Struthio camelus: one gene and its partner. The protein of the gene in region 1 purifies or fractionates together with the protein of each later gene. This does not show direct contact. Links are inferred from orthologs where the notes say so. Each region holds a gene or a part of one and is shown on either strand. Other genes may lie near its edges.

The links.
Region 2: the proteins of STK40 (region 1) and TRIB1 purify together in Homo sapiens (affinity purification with mass spectrometry; 3 studies listed by BioGRID and IntAct, counting the BioPlex papers as one, with this or other methods). This does not show direct contact. The link is inferred for Struthio camelus from reciprocal best matches to the Homo sapiens genes STK40 and TRIB1.

What each region holds. Positions count from the first base shown.
Region 1 is NC_090964.1:10,309,777-10,318,753, forward strand, and holds the start of STK40 (serine/threonine-protein kinase 40), read right to left. Parts: upstream 3,399-8,977; 5' UTR 3,384-3,398; coding exon 3,235-3,383; intron 1-3,234. Other genes in the region: U7 snRNA-associated Sm-like protein LSm10, read right to left, coding at 5,731-6,102; protein OSCP1, read right to left, coding at 6,784-6,900, 7,456-7,519, 8,300-8,439, 8,651-8,720. UniProt on the Homo sapiens protein: May be a negative regulator of NF-kappa-B and p53-mediated gene transcription.
Region 2 is NC_090943.1:161,116,589-161,124,835, forward strand, and holds the start of TRIB1 (tribbles homolog 1), read left to right. Parts: upstream 1-4,848; 5' UTR 4,849-4,919; coding exon 4,920-4,929; intron 4,930-5,519; coding exon 5,520-6,106; exon of another isoform or gene 6,107-6,142; intron 6,143-6,588; coding exon 6,589-6,881; intron 6,882-8,247. UniProt on the Homo sapiens protein: Adapter protein involved in protein degradation by interacting with COP1 ubiquitin ligase. The COP1-binding motif is masked by autoinhibitory interactions with the protein kinase domain.

The DNA of each region.
Region 1 (8,977 bases):
GTTCCCTATTTGATTACATAATCACCAACTTAAGCTTAACCCTTTCATGCTGAAGCACGGGACACATCTGTAAGGCTTTCCAGTCACCACAAAAAAGAGAACAATGCTCCCAGAAGGGCCTAATGTTTCACTGCAGAGGCCAACTAGAGCATGACACAACACAGGACAAGAACTGAAAAATGAAACTTTGGCATTCTGGAAATACCAGAAAAAGACTACGCTGCTCTTTCAATAGCAGATCATGACATATAGAGTTCTTGACCTTGGACTGCAGTGCACACAGAGCTCCCATGAAGTTATGTAGTCATTAGCTTTAAAATCACCATCAGGTAAGATATTCATTGCACTAGATTTTATTTTTCATTTATAGCTTAAGTTACTGTGTATATTTAGTGCTCCATAAGTTCAGTGCAGCAGGACTTGCTTCACATGCACAAAGATTATTGCATGACTCATGCACATGCTGACACATTTTCTTTATGGTGAGACATGCTTGCTGTTTTTAATATAGTTTACTCTTAAGGCCCTAACGACACAGAAACAAATACTTCAAGTTATCTAGATGGTTAATTCATACTACCATATATGTCATAAAAGCACATTTGATATAAATACCACAAGACCAAAAAGGAATTTACCCCACTGACAAGAAGAGAATATTTCATATGGAAAATTACAATAGGCACAGAGCTTCCTCCAGTCTAGCAAGAGCTCCTAGCTGGAGAGCTCACAGGCAAGAGTGAGGCACAAAACGCAGAAATCCAGAGCACCATCAAATTTCTGCAAATGCAGATAACACTTCCCTTATTAGACTAAATGCAACAGGCAGTTCAGGCAAAATCAATAGGGTTGTCCTTAATCAAACAGCAGCTAAGTGGCTACAAGGCTTCCCTCTGTGTGGTTTTAAAAGGAGATGATTCTGCAATATCCTGAGGATAAAAGGCAGCTGAACATGAGGGTGCTTTTAAGTAATGTGATTATGTGACCAAATCATCAGTGCAGATGCCACAGAGAAACAATAAAAGGATGTAGCAAAACACTCCAGCATCAGGGAAACACTTCCTTCATCCCAAATGGTACCGACTGGGGACTTTTCGCTAAAAGGATCTTAGCAGAAGCCCTTCAGGAGAACATACCAGAAACTAGCCCTACTTTTGTCAACACACCTGAGTCCTGCTCCAGCAGCTGCTGAAACCCGTCAACTAGCAGGATACACGGTTTTGTGAACAAATAGACAAGTCCCCCCACACAAAACAGGCCATCAGCACCATTAGCTAGAGCTAATGGGGCAGTGAGAACCAACCTGCCCGTGTTATTCAGCGCACTGGATTTCATCGCTGCTATCTAGCCAGGGCTGCTGATGAGGCTTTAGCTACAATGACAAAATTCAGGTCATCAGGTCTTTGCTGACTGCAGGAATGATGAAAACTAGATCAGACTGGGCACAGGCACAAAGCCAAAGACTTTGTAGTACACAAACACCCTTTTTATTTCAAGGAATAAGGGACTTGGCACAAAATGATACCATTGATTTTTCTTGGTCTAAATCTTACCTATGCACCATGGATCTGCCCCGTCCCTCAGGTTAAACTTCACCTCTGCTACGTGCACACTGCCAGTCTGCTCTTTTACCCGAGCTCCGTATGAGCTGGAGCACTCAACTAACATCCCTTCTGCCATGGAGAGATCCTATTCCCCCTGCAGCAGGAAGGAGTTTGAGACCCAGATTGCTTAGCCCCACCATACTCTGCACTAGCCTCTGCTGAGTAATCTCAGCTCCAACACTCACTCCTACTTCATTACCTCCTTTCTGACACCGGGCTATAGCTGAGACTACAGCCTGAATGCAATCAAATGCCGAGCGCACCTATGCACGCTGTCAAACAGCAGTGTATGGTAAGCCTATATATTAAGACTCTAAGCCAGTAAAAGAAAAAACAAAGGCTTAAGAAAGCCAACTTCAAGCTTAGAGGGTGTTGGAATTTTTTCAGAAATTACTTAATTCCCAAATTTAGGACAGCATATTGCTGCAAATGCAAATAAACTGCAGTACTAGAAAATGCAGCTCCCTTACCTGCTTTCAGCATGTAAGGAATCTATAACCAGCACAGCTCATCCATATTCACAACCAGACCCAGTGAACAGATAACACAGTGGACAGGATGACAGGAGGAAGGAGTAACTGGCCAAAATAAAAACAAGTCTAGAAGGCCCTTATGTCCAGAGAGATGGGCAGTGGGGCAAAGACGAGGCTCCACGGGCTCATTCCAACAGTAAAACGCGGGACCTTTAATACCTTCGCATGGCGCGGCAAGAAAGGATTTTAACTGAACTCTAACTTTCAAAGGCCACTGTCAAAAAAAAAAAAAAAAGAAAAGAAAAGCAACTAACAAGAAGAAGAAAGAAGATAATTTAAATTATCTTCTTAGATAATTTAAAGCAGAAGAAATTTAAAGCATTCCTTATTACTTTATTCAAATGAATTAAGGGAATAACACAGAGGAGACAGGACAAGTTTCTGTAGCTAGCTCCAACTTTAATAATTTATGGTCCTATTCGTTCTTACTTAGAGCTACAGCCTTCAGCCAGTTACTGCTGGGAGCACCCCAGACTGCCTTCTCCCCAAGCAACTAACTTCAGACGTTGTCACCCAGCCTGAAAACACAGCCGGCACCAGACAGGAGCCGCTGGCCCCCCAGCACGCTCGCAACCTATCGCTGTGCTGCCAGGAGAGTTGAGTTAGGCGCTGTCAACAAAATAAAAAACCCCCTAACCATGCTACCGTTATCGACAGGAGGGAAAAAAAAACCCAAAAGGAGCTTCGTTAACCGACTTTTTCAGCCTAACTGCATAAGCACGCCGCACTACGCCACGGCTAACACCTGACCGGTGAAGAGGCGGCAGCGGGCTAGGCAGCGGCAGGGCTGCCGCGACAAGAGGGGCAGCCGCCGGGCCGCGCGGAGACCCCCAGAGACAGCCGGGGGGGGGGGGGCAGCTCCGGCTCCCGGAGGGCGGCGAACCGCCCAGGGCTCTTCACCGGGCGCCGAGCACCCGCGGGCGCGGACCCGCGCGGGACGAGCCGCCTGCCCCCAGCCGCCGCCGCCGGCCAGCGACCCCTGAGGAGCCGGGCGAGCAGCGCCGCGCCGCCCCCCCACCCCGGGAAGGCGGAGCGCGGCCCAGCAGCAGGAAGACCCCGAAGCGAGAGGCCCGACCCCCCCCCCCGGCCCTGCTCACCCATGGCCCCGGGGCCGGCGCGGCCGCCGGCGCCTCCCGCAGCCCCACGCCCGGCCGCGGCCTCCGCTCCGCTCCGCGGCGGCGGCCACCTGACGACGGAAGTGACGCACCGCCTTCTCCCCCCCGCCCCGCCCCTCGCCGGCCGCCATCCTGCCTCCTGGCGGCCGCCGCGGAGATGGCGGCGGGGACGGCGCGCCTCTGGCTGGCCCGGGGAGCTGGCGCCGGCCGCCATTGGCGGAGAGCTCAGGTGAGGCGGGAGGGGATCGGCGAGGCGGCAGGATCTGATTGGCTGACTCCCGGAGGCGAGGCGGGAGGAGGCGAACAGCGGAGCCTCATTGGCCGGAGCAGCGCGGCTCCCTCTGCTGATTGGCTGCCGCTGCGGCAGGCCGTGGATGGGAAGCGGGTTGGTGGGCAGGCGGGAGATTCGAAACCGCCGTGATTGGGGGAGAGCCGGGGGCTTTCCAGGGAGCCCCGCCCCCGGGCCCCAGCCCCACCCCCAGAGCAGGCCGCAGCAGCCGCCCCGAGCCCGGGGCCGGGCTGAGTCAGGGCCCGGAGCGGCCGGCCCGCTGCCTCCGCCGCTTGCGCAAGGCCCGGCCCGGCCCGGCCCTCCCCGCCCCGTGAATCAGCGCCAGGGCCGCGGCCCTGCGGGGGCTCAGGGGAAGGGAACCCCTCTGCCCCTCGCGCGGGGGCCCGGCCCCCTGGGATACCTCCGGGTCAGGGGGGGCGAGTCATGCCACGCCGCTGCCCCGACCAGCTGAGCCGGAGGAGTGAGCAGGCCTCCTGCGCCCGCTGCAGGCGGGGGCCCCCCCAGGCTTCGTTGCCTCTGGGGCGGGTCGCCGAAAGCTCCCTTTTCAAACCGCCTCGCTCAAGCCCACGCAAAAACCACTCCAAGCCGTCTTCCCAGCTGGGGCGGCCCAGGCGGCCTGTGTGGAGGTCTGGTGGGTCACCAGGAGCCCCTTTCCCCGCCCCCCGGCGCAGGGTCATCATCCCTCGCTGTGCCCAGGTTCTGTTCCTCACCCATAGTCGCTCCTGATCTCCACCTGACCGGCACTTCAGGGGACGGTGGGGTACAAGCTTCACCTCCGACTCCTTGGGGTCCCTGCTCTGCCCCCAGCACTGCAGCCACTCCAGCAAGCCAGGAGGGATGCCCATGCCCAAGAACAGAGCTGCACGCACACACACACACGCAGGGCAACCGCCACCGAGCTCCATCTCGGAGATGGCCAGGCAGCACTGGGTAACAAAGAGATGCCTGTACCAAATAGGATGAAGTCATCTGTTGACTCTGGCAATGTTTTAGGCAGACTCTCAGTGGGCTGGGGAAGACTTATGGAGGAGTGAGGAAGCAGAGGAGCTGGCAGCGGTAGCATTTGCTGTGTCCTCGGTGATAACATAGACCTGTGAATCATAAAAACCCATTTCATTCCCATTCCTTTCACTGTTGCCAATCACCCTCTGCCAACACGAGCCAGGTCTGTGACTCCTTCCTGCCCGGCCAAAAGAGCCATCCAGGGCTTGTCTGACTCCAGCAACACACCTAGGGGCAGTGACTGCCAACTCCTGGGTGTCTGCCCTTGACACATCTGCTGCCTGGGGACCAGCACGTGCCTGGCTCCAGCAGCAGGAAGAGCCCATGCAGACACGAGGGAGCCCTCCTCATCCTCCTGCTGCCACGCGCTAGGCTTTGAGCACAGCTTCCTCTTCCCAGGACCCTGAGCAGAGCAATCCCTGCACCTTTGCACTTGTCCATGCAGAACAGCACTGCCCCTTCCCCTCTGTCACGCACCTGTTTTGGCCACGGGTGCAAATGCCCATCAGGGCTGTAGGAGGAGTGAAGCTAGACACCCGTGGGCATCCGAGAAAGCCACCTGGGGAGCTGTAGCCAACAAGCATGATGCACACCAGCACCTTGTGTTCAATTTGCCAGCTTTGCGGCTCGTGAGTGCCCAGGCTGTCTCATGGCCTCCATCTCCTCCTGACCCCCTTTCCACAGCGCTCAATCTCCTGCGGACAGAGGTACCCATAGCAGTGGGGTCCCAGTCTCCACTAGCCAGGAAGGCAAAGCTGTGAGAGCAGTAGGATGCCTGTGGGAGACCACAGCCAAGCAATAACACCAAACTGTGGCTTCTGACCAAAAGGGCTTTGTTTGAGAAGAATGGTGAGCAGTGAGAGAAGGGATACAGAGTAGCTGCCAAGCAAACAGGAAATGAGCTGGAAAAAAAAAAAAAAAAAAAGAGAAATCACAGATCCTTTAAAGCAGGGTTATTCATTAAAAAAATAACCTCGCACTGAGGATCCCCCCGCTCTCCCATAGGCACCAGCCAGGGGAGAAGCAGAGCCCTGTGTCCCTGGGAGGGATGCCCAGGGCAAGGTGTGGAGGCAGCTGGCAGAAAGTCCCAGTGTCCTGTCAAGAGGGGACACACCTGTCCTTGCCTTCCCGTGCACGTGGCGCCAGGGTCCGTGCTGGAGCTGGAGATACGGCAGCACCAGGAAGGATCACTTGTGCCTCGCTCGAGGGAACTCCTTCCTGCCCTTGTCACGGCCTCCAAAATAGCGGATCCTGTGGATTGCCTGCAGCTGACGCTCGATGGTGGCCCTGATGTCCACCTCGTCGGGGATGTGAACATAGCGGACGTTCCTGCCGGTTATAAAGAGCTCATCCAGGTGGGACACTGTGCCCTGCCTGTCTGTGAAGGTCACCTCAGACAGGCGCACGTTCATGAAGGCGTCCACGTTGGTGATGCGCCCAGTGGCTGTGCTCTCATCACGGAGGTCCACAGTGGTGACATGGCCGTGCAGGCCCTGCAGAAGGATGACCAGACTGTTCTCGGCAATGGTGCGCTCCTTGACAGAGTGGCTGACCTCCATCGCGCCGCTGTAGCAGAGGAACAGGAGACGCCATGCAGCGCTCTGACCAGCACCTGCCTGCCCCACTGCCCGCTCCCCCAGGGGCAGGTCAGCCAGACTCTGTGTCCCGGGGCACATGCTGCGGTGCAGCCACCAAAGAAATGCACTGCATCTCCCTTGCATGCTTTCACACTCCTCCCCTTGCACACTGGTGTACATACCACCCCCTCTCCCCTTGCACACGCACATAGGTGCACACCGCCCTCCTCTCCTTGCACACGCACGTACAAACTGTCTTCCTCCTCTTGCACGCTCACCCGCACGCCCACTCCCGCTGCTCGCACTCTCGCTCTGCAGGCGCCCCCCCGCACACCCACCCGCCCGCTGCCCCTCTCCCGCGGCCACGCGCCGCTTGGATCCCCGCGCACACGGGCGTGCACGCTGCCCGCCCCCCCTTGCACGCTCGCGTGCATGTGCTTCCCTCCTCCCCGGCACACTCACCCGCGCGGCCCGGCGGCAGGAAGGGGCGGCGCGGAGCGGCCGCGTGCGCAGTGCGGCCCCGGCCCCCGAACCGCCCCGGAGCCGCCCGCCCCCGAGCGCCGCCCGCCCGCCCCCGGCCCCGGCGCCGCCCGCCCGCCCCCGGCCCCGGACTCTCGCTCGGTGCCAGGCTGGGAACAGCGTATTTAATGGTGCGGCGGGCGGTCAGAGCCCGTCCATGAGCGCCAGCAGGTCCTCGCCTTTGGCCGTGCTGGCCGGGCGCTGCTCCGCCACCTCCAGCTCCCCCAGGATGCGGGCCAGCTCCTCCTGCCGCCCCGGGTCCTGCGCGGAGAGAGACAGCCTCAGCCTGCGCCCCCGGCCCCCGCAGCCCCGGCGTGCCACAAGCGAGCGCAGGGGTACTGCTCCCCCCGTTAATCTGCCGACAACTGCCTCTCCTGGGCTGACGGTGCTCCCGCCTGTGTTCCTGACACCGGCTGGGATTCTCCCCTGTAAAAGTACCACAGTATTGCAGCCCTATTCAGAGATGCCCAATTGCCTGTTAAAATTAAGGAGGTGATTTAAGGGTTTACAGGCATTAGGCATGATCCGGTATGCGTTCTCTAGTCCATCTGGTCTTAAAACTTGTTCTAATAAGTGAGAAAGCTGCAAATATTTGGAATTCAAATATTTGAAATATTCAAATATTTCAAGTTCTATTACTCAGTAATTACTATATCTACAAACTTAGTAGACTATATTTCCATTACTTATCACGAGCTTAACTGAATTTGAACACAACACATCTATATATTTTTAAGTCACTACCACAGGTAAAACTCAGTTCTTAGCAAGGAAAGAACGATTAGAATCAAAAGATCAGAAATACACCGTACATACCTGAGTGGCTTCTATGTTGATAACTTTGTAAGATAACTCCTCTGGTCTAGTCAATGCTGCGTGCCTTGATTGAAAACATGAAAAAAGTGCTTAATCTCACGATGACATACCAGTAAGTGATGAAAACAGAATCAGATTCATGAGGCTGCTGTGGACATGAAGTTTAGACAACTTTGCTATTTTTACTAGGCAAATTAATACATTAATCCCAGTTTGCAGTCTTATCCCTGTCTTGGATTTCTTATGCTAGCTGTAGAACAGTGAGAGTCTCTCTTTAGTTGCAAATAAAACAAATCTGCAAAAATTTCTGCAAAAAAAATTCTGCAGAAATCAAATAATGAAATGTCTCATTACCCTTTTGCTCCCTGCTAGGAAGCAGCTAAGGTAGTCAAGCCTGTTAGGCTTATCACCACTGATCAATTGTTAAGATATGTATATTTCAGGAGATAAGTATGTATTCATTTGGGGGATGGGAGAGCTAAAGGAGCTGAAGGGATGTACGTTGTTTCAGTTCTGTGTGACAGGACCTAAGCACAGATGGTCACAGACTGGTGATCTGCCAGTCTCACTTCAAGGGACAAGCAGTCCCAAGGACAAGAGCTTGCATCACAAGTGAAACACCAGTAACGCAAATGCGTCTCCTTGCTGCTAGTCCCAAAAAAAAGGTCAAGCCAGGGAAACTGCTGTTCCTTGTGTTCCTTCAGGGACTATCTGCACCAGGATAAGGAGATACTACAAAGACTGCTTATTCTGTCCCTAAGGCTGTTAAGGCTCAGCTTCAGTCTCCAGGACTGTCCACATGGGACTAAATCACAAACCCCAACCAAGCACAACTCGAGCATACTCTTCCTCCTCGTCTGTCGTGAACAAGTTTAGTCGAAATCCTGTCTCATTGCCACCAGGTTTCTTGATCTCCAGAACTCCTATTAGCCTGGCCAAAAAGTTCATCTCTTCTTTGGCAAGAGGATTAGGGGCTGTATTCTCCTGTAAAAAACAGTAATGGGTTAAATGGCCAGATTAACAGGAAAATGAGGACTGCAATAGTTTGGTCATTTCTCATATTAGATAAATATTTTTCAAAGTGATGTAAATATATTTCTGTATTTTTAATGGTGGAGATAGTGCAGGTAAGTCATAATTATATCAGTTACACATTTAAAATGGTTGGTTGAATTTATAGACTGAGAACACTGACCTTTGCATGGGATGCCAAGCTTTTGGATGATCCTGCCATGTGTGTCTCTACTGGCCGGCTAACACTGTACCTAGTGAGAAAAAATATACAAGGAAGAGCTCCCCATTAGCTGCATTGATAGTGGAATAGAATGGAGCAACAGGATCCGAATGTGGTTTAGCAATATTTTTCTGAAGAAAAAGTAAAAGTTTTGATTCAGTTTTATGGAATATTGATGCATTAAAATGTGCAAGTGACGAAACTATAAGAACGAACGCTGCTGTCTCTTGCTCTGTGAATGGAAAAAATTACGTCAGACAAACAGGAAAAAAAAAGCATCCCTTGAAT
Region 2 (8,247 bases), on another chromosome or scaffold:
AGATGAGAACTGTGTTTCATCATTTCAAAACACTGCGTAAAATGGAGATTCAGGGCTAAGGAGAGAGTTTGCCTCAGTTACTTATTGTGATTTTAGTCCGGACTTGAACACAGAGCTTGCAAGCACTCACATGAATTGAATTGCATGGGAAGCTTACCAAAGGAAGTGTTTGCTTGTAAACTCAATATGAATAGGATCTTCTCTGACCGCAAGGGAAATGGAGAGACACTCATTCACTGGTCGCTTGTGCAATCAACTTCTGAAGTAAAAACAGGATTTGAGGTTTAAAACCTGAACCTTCACATATCTTTCAAGTAACAGAAGAAGCCTTCATGTGCTTTAGTCCATGAAGAAACAAAGTCAGGAGGTGCTGCTCATGAGACTCCTTGGATTTGATAACAACTGGCTTATCAAAAGGGAATTATTTAGTTTTCCTAGCAATAGCAAGCCTCAGAACAGTTTCTGTGAAGGCTTGAGGGGAGACGTCTGAACATCATTACATTTCAGTTTGTTTGATGTCCCTGCGTGCCTGTCATGCGTTCTATATCTTAACATTGAATCTGTCACTCAATTCCAGAATGTCTTAGTATGGTTGCATGTTTATCACGATGTGATTTTGTTGTAAAAAACATAACTTGTAAGCTCTTTTTATCACTGGGCCACACAATTGCACCTCAGACTTTTTCCACGCGGGTTGCTTTCACATAGCACTACGGTAGTAGATTATGGACTATTTGCTCGTTTTAAATGCTGGCTTTAAATCTACTAGTCGTTTAAATATCATGACATGGCTTGAGCTAACTTGTAAATACAGATATTTACTTTTCATCATTTGCCTGACAGTTAAATATTAGCTGAAATATTTGTGTGTGATGACTCTTCTCATCTGATAGCTAAAATGATGAGTTTTTAATTTCTTCCCATAGCAAGCAGCCAGTTTATTTATAAGTGGCCTAATCTAACACAGATTTACTCTGTGTATCCCATGAGACATATTATCAAAGTAACCAGACCTGTCCCAAGCACTTGGGAAGTGGGGAGATGGTTACACAATTCTCATTGCCTCTGGCTGTTCTAGTTAAAAAGATAAAGGGTCAGAGAACTGGAGCAGCAGAGATGATAATTTCGTGAGCATCTAAGGAAAAGCAGCTGATCAGATGCGGGCAGGCAGTGGCTGAGGGTGAGACGGGTAGATGCTTGAATACCACATAATAAAAATTCCCTTAAATAAAGTAATACATCAGGAAAAGGGAATGCAAAAAGCTTGTGAAAGCATGAGCAACTGAAAATATCTCCAGCTTCTTAAATCTTCATCTAGCAGGTGCGATAGCACTGCTTACCTGTTTTTAAAAAAGGAAAAAAAATATATATGAAAAGGAATATTCACCCTACCTTGCCATGGCTCTAGCCAATGTGTGCTGAGCAAGACCTTTCCCTCTGCTGGGATGCCTCAAAACTGTGACAGCCATCCCACAGGCTGTCACCTCTGCTCCAAACGCCAACTCCCTGCCTAGCAGTTGGGATTCCTGGAAGAGAGAAGACAGCAAGCAACCCTGATTGCTTCGATCATCCTTTTCCAAGGCAGGATCAGATTTATGGCCAGATTTTGCACCGTCCTTTGACTGCAAACTCCTTAGAATTCTTTAGCGTTTGGAAAGTGTCTGTTGCACGCAGATTAGTGATCCGTGTCCTCGAAGGCCAGGCCTGCCCCACCTTACTCCTACCCAGCCTGTATTTGAGCATCCAAGGCTGTGTGCTTGGTTCCTTGTAGTATGCGGGATTGTAGCTCATAGTGTTTCGTTTTTCTGGCACTTAGGTAACAAGACTCATGCACAGAGTCAGTATTTTATCCCAAAGTTAAGTCTATAAATGTAATTCTGCAATGATCTGTGCTTTGCAGTGTTTTACAGTGCTATCCATCTGAGATGCATGAGACCGCCTTGCTTCATTTGGAAGGGCTGGCTTTAAATCTACTAGTCGTTTAAATATCATGACATGGCTTGAGCTAACTTGTAAAATACAGATATTTACTTTTCATCATTTGCCTGACAGTTAAATATTAGCTGAAATATTTGTGTGTGACCTGTTTAGACTCAAATTCATCCCTGGCATAGCTGGGAACTGCCAGCACCAGTATTCATCTCCTCTTATAACCTATGGCAGCCCTCAGAAATATCCTTTTTTAACGCACAGCACCCTGTAAGAGAGCACAGATGCCCCATGGATCATCCCAAACCATCCCCCAAAATGCCTTCAGTCCCTGGGCTTCCTGGGAACCCGTTATAAAGGGGATCAGCTGGTACAAAAGGTATTCAGATGCAGTAGTAAATGCCCAGGGTACCTCTGAAGTCCTTGAAACAGTTGAAGATTAAAGATGCTATGGCTCATTGCTGGCTCCCTGAGCAGAGATGAATTTCTTTCTTCATGTATGCTAAGCAGGTAGCATGAGAAAAATCTTCCTGGGCAGGGGGGAGAGATGAAATGACGAAGGCTTGTGCAGGGAAAAGAAGGAAGATATCAGTGGCTTTTGATTTCAAGAGGAAACTAATGAGGGAGATACGCCTGGATATGCCTGGATGCTTAAAAGCCCGGGGAGCAATCTATAACACGTGACTGTTGTGGGAAGTGTGGTAGACTCATATTCTGCACTACTTTTCTAACACTAGAAAGCTACAAAAAGTTCTTCAGTTCTTCACACACCGCTCCCTTGAATTCCTCCTATGTCCTTTCTGCATTGCTTCGCAGTACAACCATAGCAAATCACTTCTTGTTGTGTTCTGCCACACGTGTTGGGAGGAATTAGCAGGGAGGGGGTGCTGCATGTGGACCTTTTCTGACAATCTGTACCCAAAACTTAAAACTGACAAGGCGAGCATCATTAATTTGATTAATGATTAAACCTTTCATGGCTACTATATATTTATTCATGATATTAATGCTCCGAGTACCCAAGAGCATGCTAAGCATTTTAAAGAAGCAGCGGCAGCTTCCTGCTGCAATGAACTGCCTCCGTTTTGCAAAGAGTTTAACCCTGGGAGATTTACGCCTCGGTTCACCTCAGCCACATTTAGGCAACAGAATTAGGAGCATGGTCCACCTAGGAGTCTGTACAGCCTGCTAGGAGAGGCCACCGAGCAGCACTTTGGGAGGGCCACACGGCTCTTGGGCAGTTGAATCACCTTTTTGCTGGCCCTGGAGGCATCTGTGGGGCTCCTTGCTGATGCCTGCACCCGTCCGGCGGGACACCTCCAGGGTGGCCAAGCCCAGCGTCCCAGGGAGAGCATGAGGAGGCGGCTGGCCTGGGGGGGGGGACAAGCCCACAGGCCGTCCTGGGCTGGGTGCGACATCGCGGCACCTGTGTGCTCCACTCTCCCTTGCACCTCTGGTTGATCTTTTAGGGGCACGGGATGAGCAGGGGGCTTTTGGCCATCTTAAGGACCAGCCTCAGGAATCGTCAGGCTCTCGGTGTCTCGAAGGCAGCGTGCGTGCAGGTGCTGGCGGCGCGGGGCCGGGTCGGGCGCGCCGAGGACTCCTGGGCTGGCCGTGGCCGGACGGGCACCAGGAGCCCTCCAGTGGGGCCAGAGGCCGAGGAGGTGAGGGACAAGACTTGTGATTTCTGCAAGTGGTTTCTCAGCACGGTCTGCTCCTTAAGACGTATCTGAGCTCACAGATACTTTGTGCTGGCCTATGAACGGGAAGAGAGGGACCATTTGGAGGGCCAGGACCAAAGGCACGTACATACTGCAGGTTCACCAGTTGGTGTTTACTTTAACGTCTTCACTTCCTGCGCATACGAAATCACCACACGAGTCTGAAGGACAAGTATGGTGAATGGTGTTATATGCTAATAACGCTGGTGAGTAAGGCTTTGTAGCTCCACTGTTATTTTGGTGAAGTGTCTAGACTATTACCCTGCCCCTAAAAAGCACTGACCCCCTTCTCATCCCCCGCCCCCAGTACGCTATCTCAGATGTAGCATGCAGCCTATTTATGCAAAATCCTACCAACTAAATTAAACCTGCAATGGTATCCAAATTGTAAAAAGTCCAGGAAGGGAAAAATAAAACAAAAGTCTGATGGATAATCAGGCATGTTTTATCTATGAAAGGGACAAAATGAAAGAGCATGCTTTGAGAGTTGAGGTGAATTGCTCAGAAGCAATCTGCAGACATTAATAGAATCACATTTCTGAAACAAAAAAAAAAAAAAAAGGAAAATGCAACCCCTGGGATATCCCTTTTTGGCATATGCATTTTGTGTTTAAATGCATTAATGGGACTGCTATGCTATGAGTCATCCAGCACAAGAGTTTCATATGTTTCTTAAAATACACTAGGAGTAGCTGAAGGCATGCACGGCTTTGCAGTGCAGTTATCTATCAGGAATCTCAGCAAATACCTGCTCTTCATGCAACCACAGGCTTGAGAAATGGAGGAACCCTATCTAGTCCTCTAACATCCTGCTGTTTAAACGCACTAGCGTGGTGGCATTCAAGATGCGATACAAAACCGATTCTGCAGCTTAGCAAAAGCCCAGGCTCCTTGTATTATTGTGCAAGCCTCAGTACTGAATTACAGAAAATTTGCATAGATGTAAATAGAAGAGCCGGGAGCAGTTTCCTTCTGAAGAACTGTCAGAATTACGGCTGACTCTATTTTTTTTCCAGCGATCGTTTGTTGTCTGTTTTCCTCTTGTTTTTCCTCCATTTACTAGCAACCCTGGCTGCAAACCGACTTGGTGTTCCCTCAAGCCTGCGCTTCCGAGCCTGCCCGCGGCTGCCCAGGCTGACCCTGCGCTTGGCAGGGCGCTCCCTCGGCTCGCTCTCCGTTCTGTTACCTTTCAGGACAGCGGATGCTTTAAAAACGGGCAACCCCCAAGGCGAAGCGTTGCTGACGGGGCGCAGAAATCCGCGCTCGTGAATGACCGACGGTAAATACGCACCAGCTTCGTGATGCAAACTGCGCGGTGAGCAATGGCTAATTAGCGACAAGTGACAAACAGGAACTGCTGGCGATGCCAGCAGCGAACAGCACGGCGCCGAGCGCGGCTGTGCCCGCTGTCTGTCCTGACAAGCAGCCTGGCTTGGCTGTGTTGTGTTTGCAGCCCCCAGAAGGGCGCAGCGGTGCTGTCCCGCGGGGAAGCGGGGCGCTACGGCAGCTGGCACCGTTCCCCAGCGGCACCCTTGCTGCCGCTTCCAGCACGGGCTTGCAAAACGCCAAAGCCGTGCTCCTCCTTTGCTGCCCGCGACTCCCGCTCTGCCCGACAGCGTGGGCGCCTCTGAGCCACGCTTCCCGCGTGGGCGCCAGGGGCACGCGGGGCTCGGGGCGCCCTGTCCCGGCAGCGCTGGAGCCAGCGCAGGTGCGAGACGCCCGGCGGGGCCGCGGCCAGCGCGACGGGGCGGGCAGCGGCGGCAGCGCCAGCCTCCGCCCCGGCCCCGGCCCACTTCCCCTTGCGTCAGGGCAGGGAGGAGGGGATAAACCTCGCTGCCTTTCTTTCCTTTTTTTTTTTTTTTTTAAAAGCCTCCAAGTACTTTAGCGCGGAGTCGGCGGCAGATGGTGGACACGGCCCGGGGCTGCGGCGGGGAGAGCGAGGCGATGCGCCAGCCGCCGCTCCGCGCCTGAGCCCCGCGTTGCGGCGGCAGCAGCAGCAGCAGCAGCAGCGGCGGCAGCAGCAGCAGCAGCAGCAGCCGCCGCCGCCGGCCCGACCCCGGCGCGGCCGGAGGCTCCGCTCCGCTCCGCGCCCGCTCCGCGCCCCCTCCATGAGCCGCCCGGCGCCGCCGCCGCCGCGCCGCGCCGCCGCGCTCCTCCTGCCGGCCGCCCGCTGCCGCAGCGCCCCGGCCAAGCGGCTGCCGCCGCTGCCCGACGGCCCCGCCGAGGAAGCGCCGGCCGCCAAGTGCCCGCGCCTCGCCGACTGCCCCGGCGGCGCCGCCGACTGCCTCAGCGCCCCCGGCTCGCCCTGCGCCCCGGCCTCGCCCGGCGGCGGCGGCGGCGGCGGCGGCGGGGCCGGGCCGAGCCTCATCGCCTCCTACCTGCTGCTGCCGCTGGCCGAGCGCGAGCAGGTGTCGCGGGCGCTGAGCGTCAGCTCCGGCCGCGAGCTGCGCTGCAAGGTGAGCGCGGCGCTGCGCGGGCGCGCGGCTTCCTCCCCCACCACGCCGGGCGGCGGCGGGCTTGCGGGTGGCCGGGCGCGGGGCGCGGGGCGCGGAGCAGCCCCGGCGACACTGGCCGGGGCAGCCGGGCGGCGCCGCGGAGCCCTCGCAGAACACCCTCCCGCTGCTGCCCGCTTCCACCGGCGGCCAAATCCGGCTGCCCTCGGCGGGCGTTTGCCAGCGCGGAAAATAAGCTCCGGCTGTGGATTACCTTAGAGTACCTGAAAGGCTCTTGGTGGATATTAAAGGCTTTGGGTGGTGCTCCCCCGCCCAACATAAAGTTAACAGTGCTTTAATAGCCTTGGAAGGGGTCTCGGGAACAGCTTTGCTGCTGAGCGTTGGCGCTTTTCCAGCTCCCTCATCATTGTTTGGGGCGAGTTGCTACGAGAGAGGCCGGTTTCAACGCCTTGACAATGAATTTCGCTTTACTTTCCTCCTTACAGGTGTTCCCTCTCAAACACTACCAGGACAAGATCCGGCCTTACATTCAGCTGCCGTCACACAGGAACATCACCGGGGTCGTAGAAGTGATCCTCGGAGACACCAAGGCCTATGTCTTCTTCGAAAAGGACTTTGGGGACATGCACTCCTATGTGAGGAGCTGCAAAAGGCTGCGGGAAGAGGAAGCCGCCCGGCTTTTCAAGCAGATCGTCTCAGCTGTAGCTCACTGCCACCAGTCGGCCATCGTACTTGGTGACCTCAAGCTCAGGAAATTTGTCTTTTCTAATGAAGAAAGGTAAGCCCTTACCGCCTGCCAGCCTCTGGGAGGGAGCGCTAGGGAGAACTGCCGCACTGAGAAATGCCATGTTTTTAGGCAAAAAGTATTCCAGGGAGTGGAAATCTCCAGGTAAACCAGGCGTCACCTACAAGATCCGAGTACGTCCATGTTACGTATATTTAATAAGTCACGGATCTAATTGGTCCGCGCTTATTTTCAGTCCGATCTTGACTGATGAAGCTGAGGAAACTCAGCGTCAGCCTGCACTCATTCACTAAAAGTTTGACGAAACCCTTTGGTGGAAAAAGGGATGATCGTGCGAGCGCTCCTTAGCGCCAGATGTCCAAATATATATCATCCGTGCAATGCGTTCGACAAGAAATGACTAAAAGGCACAGACCGCGGGCGAAAGGAGGCTCAGGCACTAGGCACGCGAAAGGGATAACAGCTCTGCTCTGGCAGCAGGAAGAGGGAGGAATCCCCGTTCCCGGGGAGAGCCCCATGGCCCTGCCAGCTGCCCCTGGTGGTTCCCCCCCCCCCCGGCACCTTTCAGCGCCGAGAGAGGAGCCACCAGCAAGGGTCTTCTCTGATAGCTTCTTATCAGAGTTGTGTTTCTAAGGATAGATTTGCTGTGCCCTTTGAAGCTTTTCTCTCTCTCATCCCTGCCAGCGGTGACGTTGATGGTTTCTGCACCCCACGTACACGTGGACGTGGGCACGCACAGGAGCGAGGGTGTTACATGGTTAAATCTGACTTTGGGAATTCTTCTCTAAGGGGGGGAAAAAAAAACCCCACAAAGCAACACCTTGATAAAACTTAGCCTAAAGCATAGGTTTATAGAGAGATGATTCTAAGCCGATTCTAATAGGAATACTTTCACAATTACTTTTTAATTTTAGATGAGGGAGTTAGTTCACATTTCCCGGGTGTGTTTGCTGCTCTCGAGATCCATCACTAGCACGGCAGAGCCAGAAATGTATTTTAATAAGCAAAACTGACATTGATTAGGTGCTTATCCCATTGACGGCTATAATAAGCAAGAGCTTTAACGGAGTTGTGCTTAGTCTGATGAAACCTGAAGTGTTATTAGTGAAGCAGAGAAAAGTGTATTTTTTTGAACTCGGCTGATACTCCTTGAAGATGCAGCGTACGAACATGATAAGAAAATGAACTAGAACTGCCCCTCTGACACAGAAACAACCATATGTTGTCATGCAAAGAAAGTAATTCCTTTGAAGGAAGCTATTGCAGCTTTTCCCGCCCATAATGAGGTGAAACATTTGTTGAAATGTTAGATTGCACACAGTCTCGCTAATTTGGAAATATGCATTGCACAGGCTAATGTCATGTGCATCAAATTTGGCAACAAGAGGGTTAAGCAACG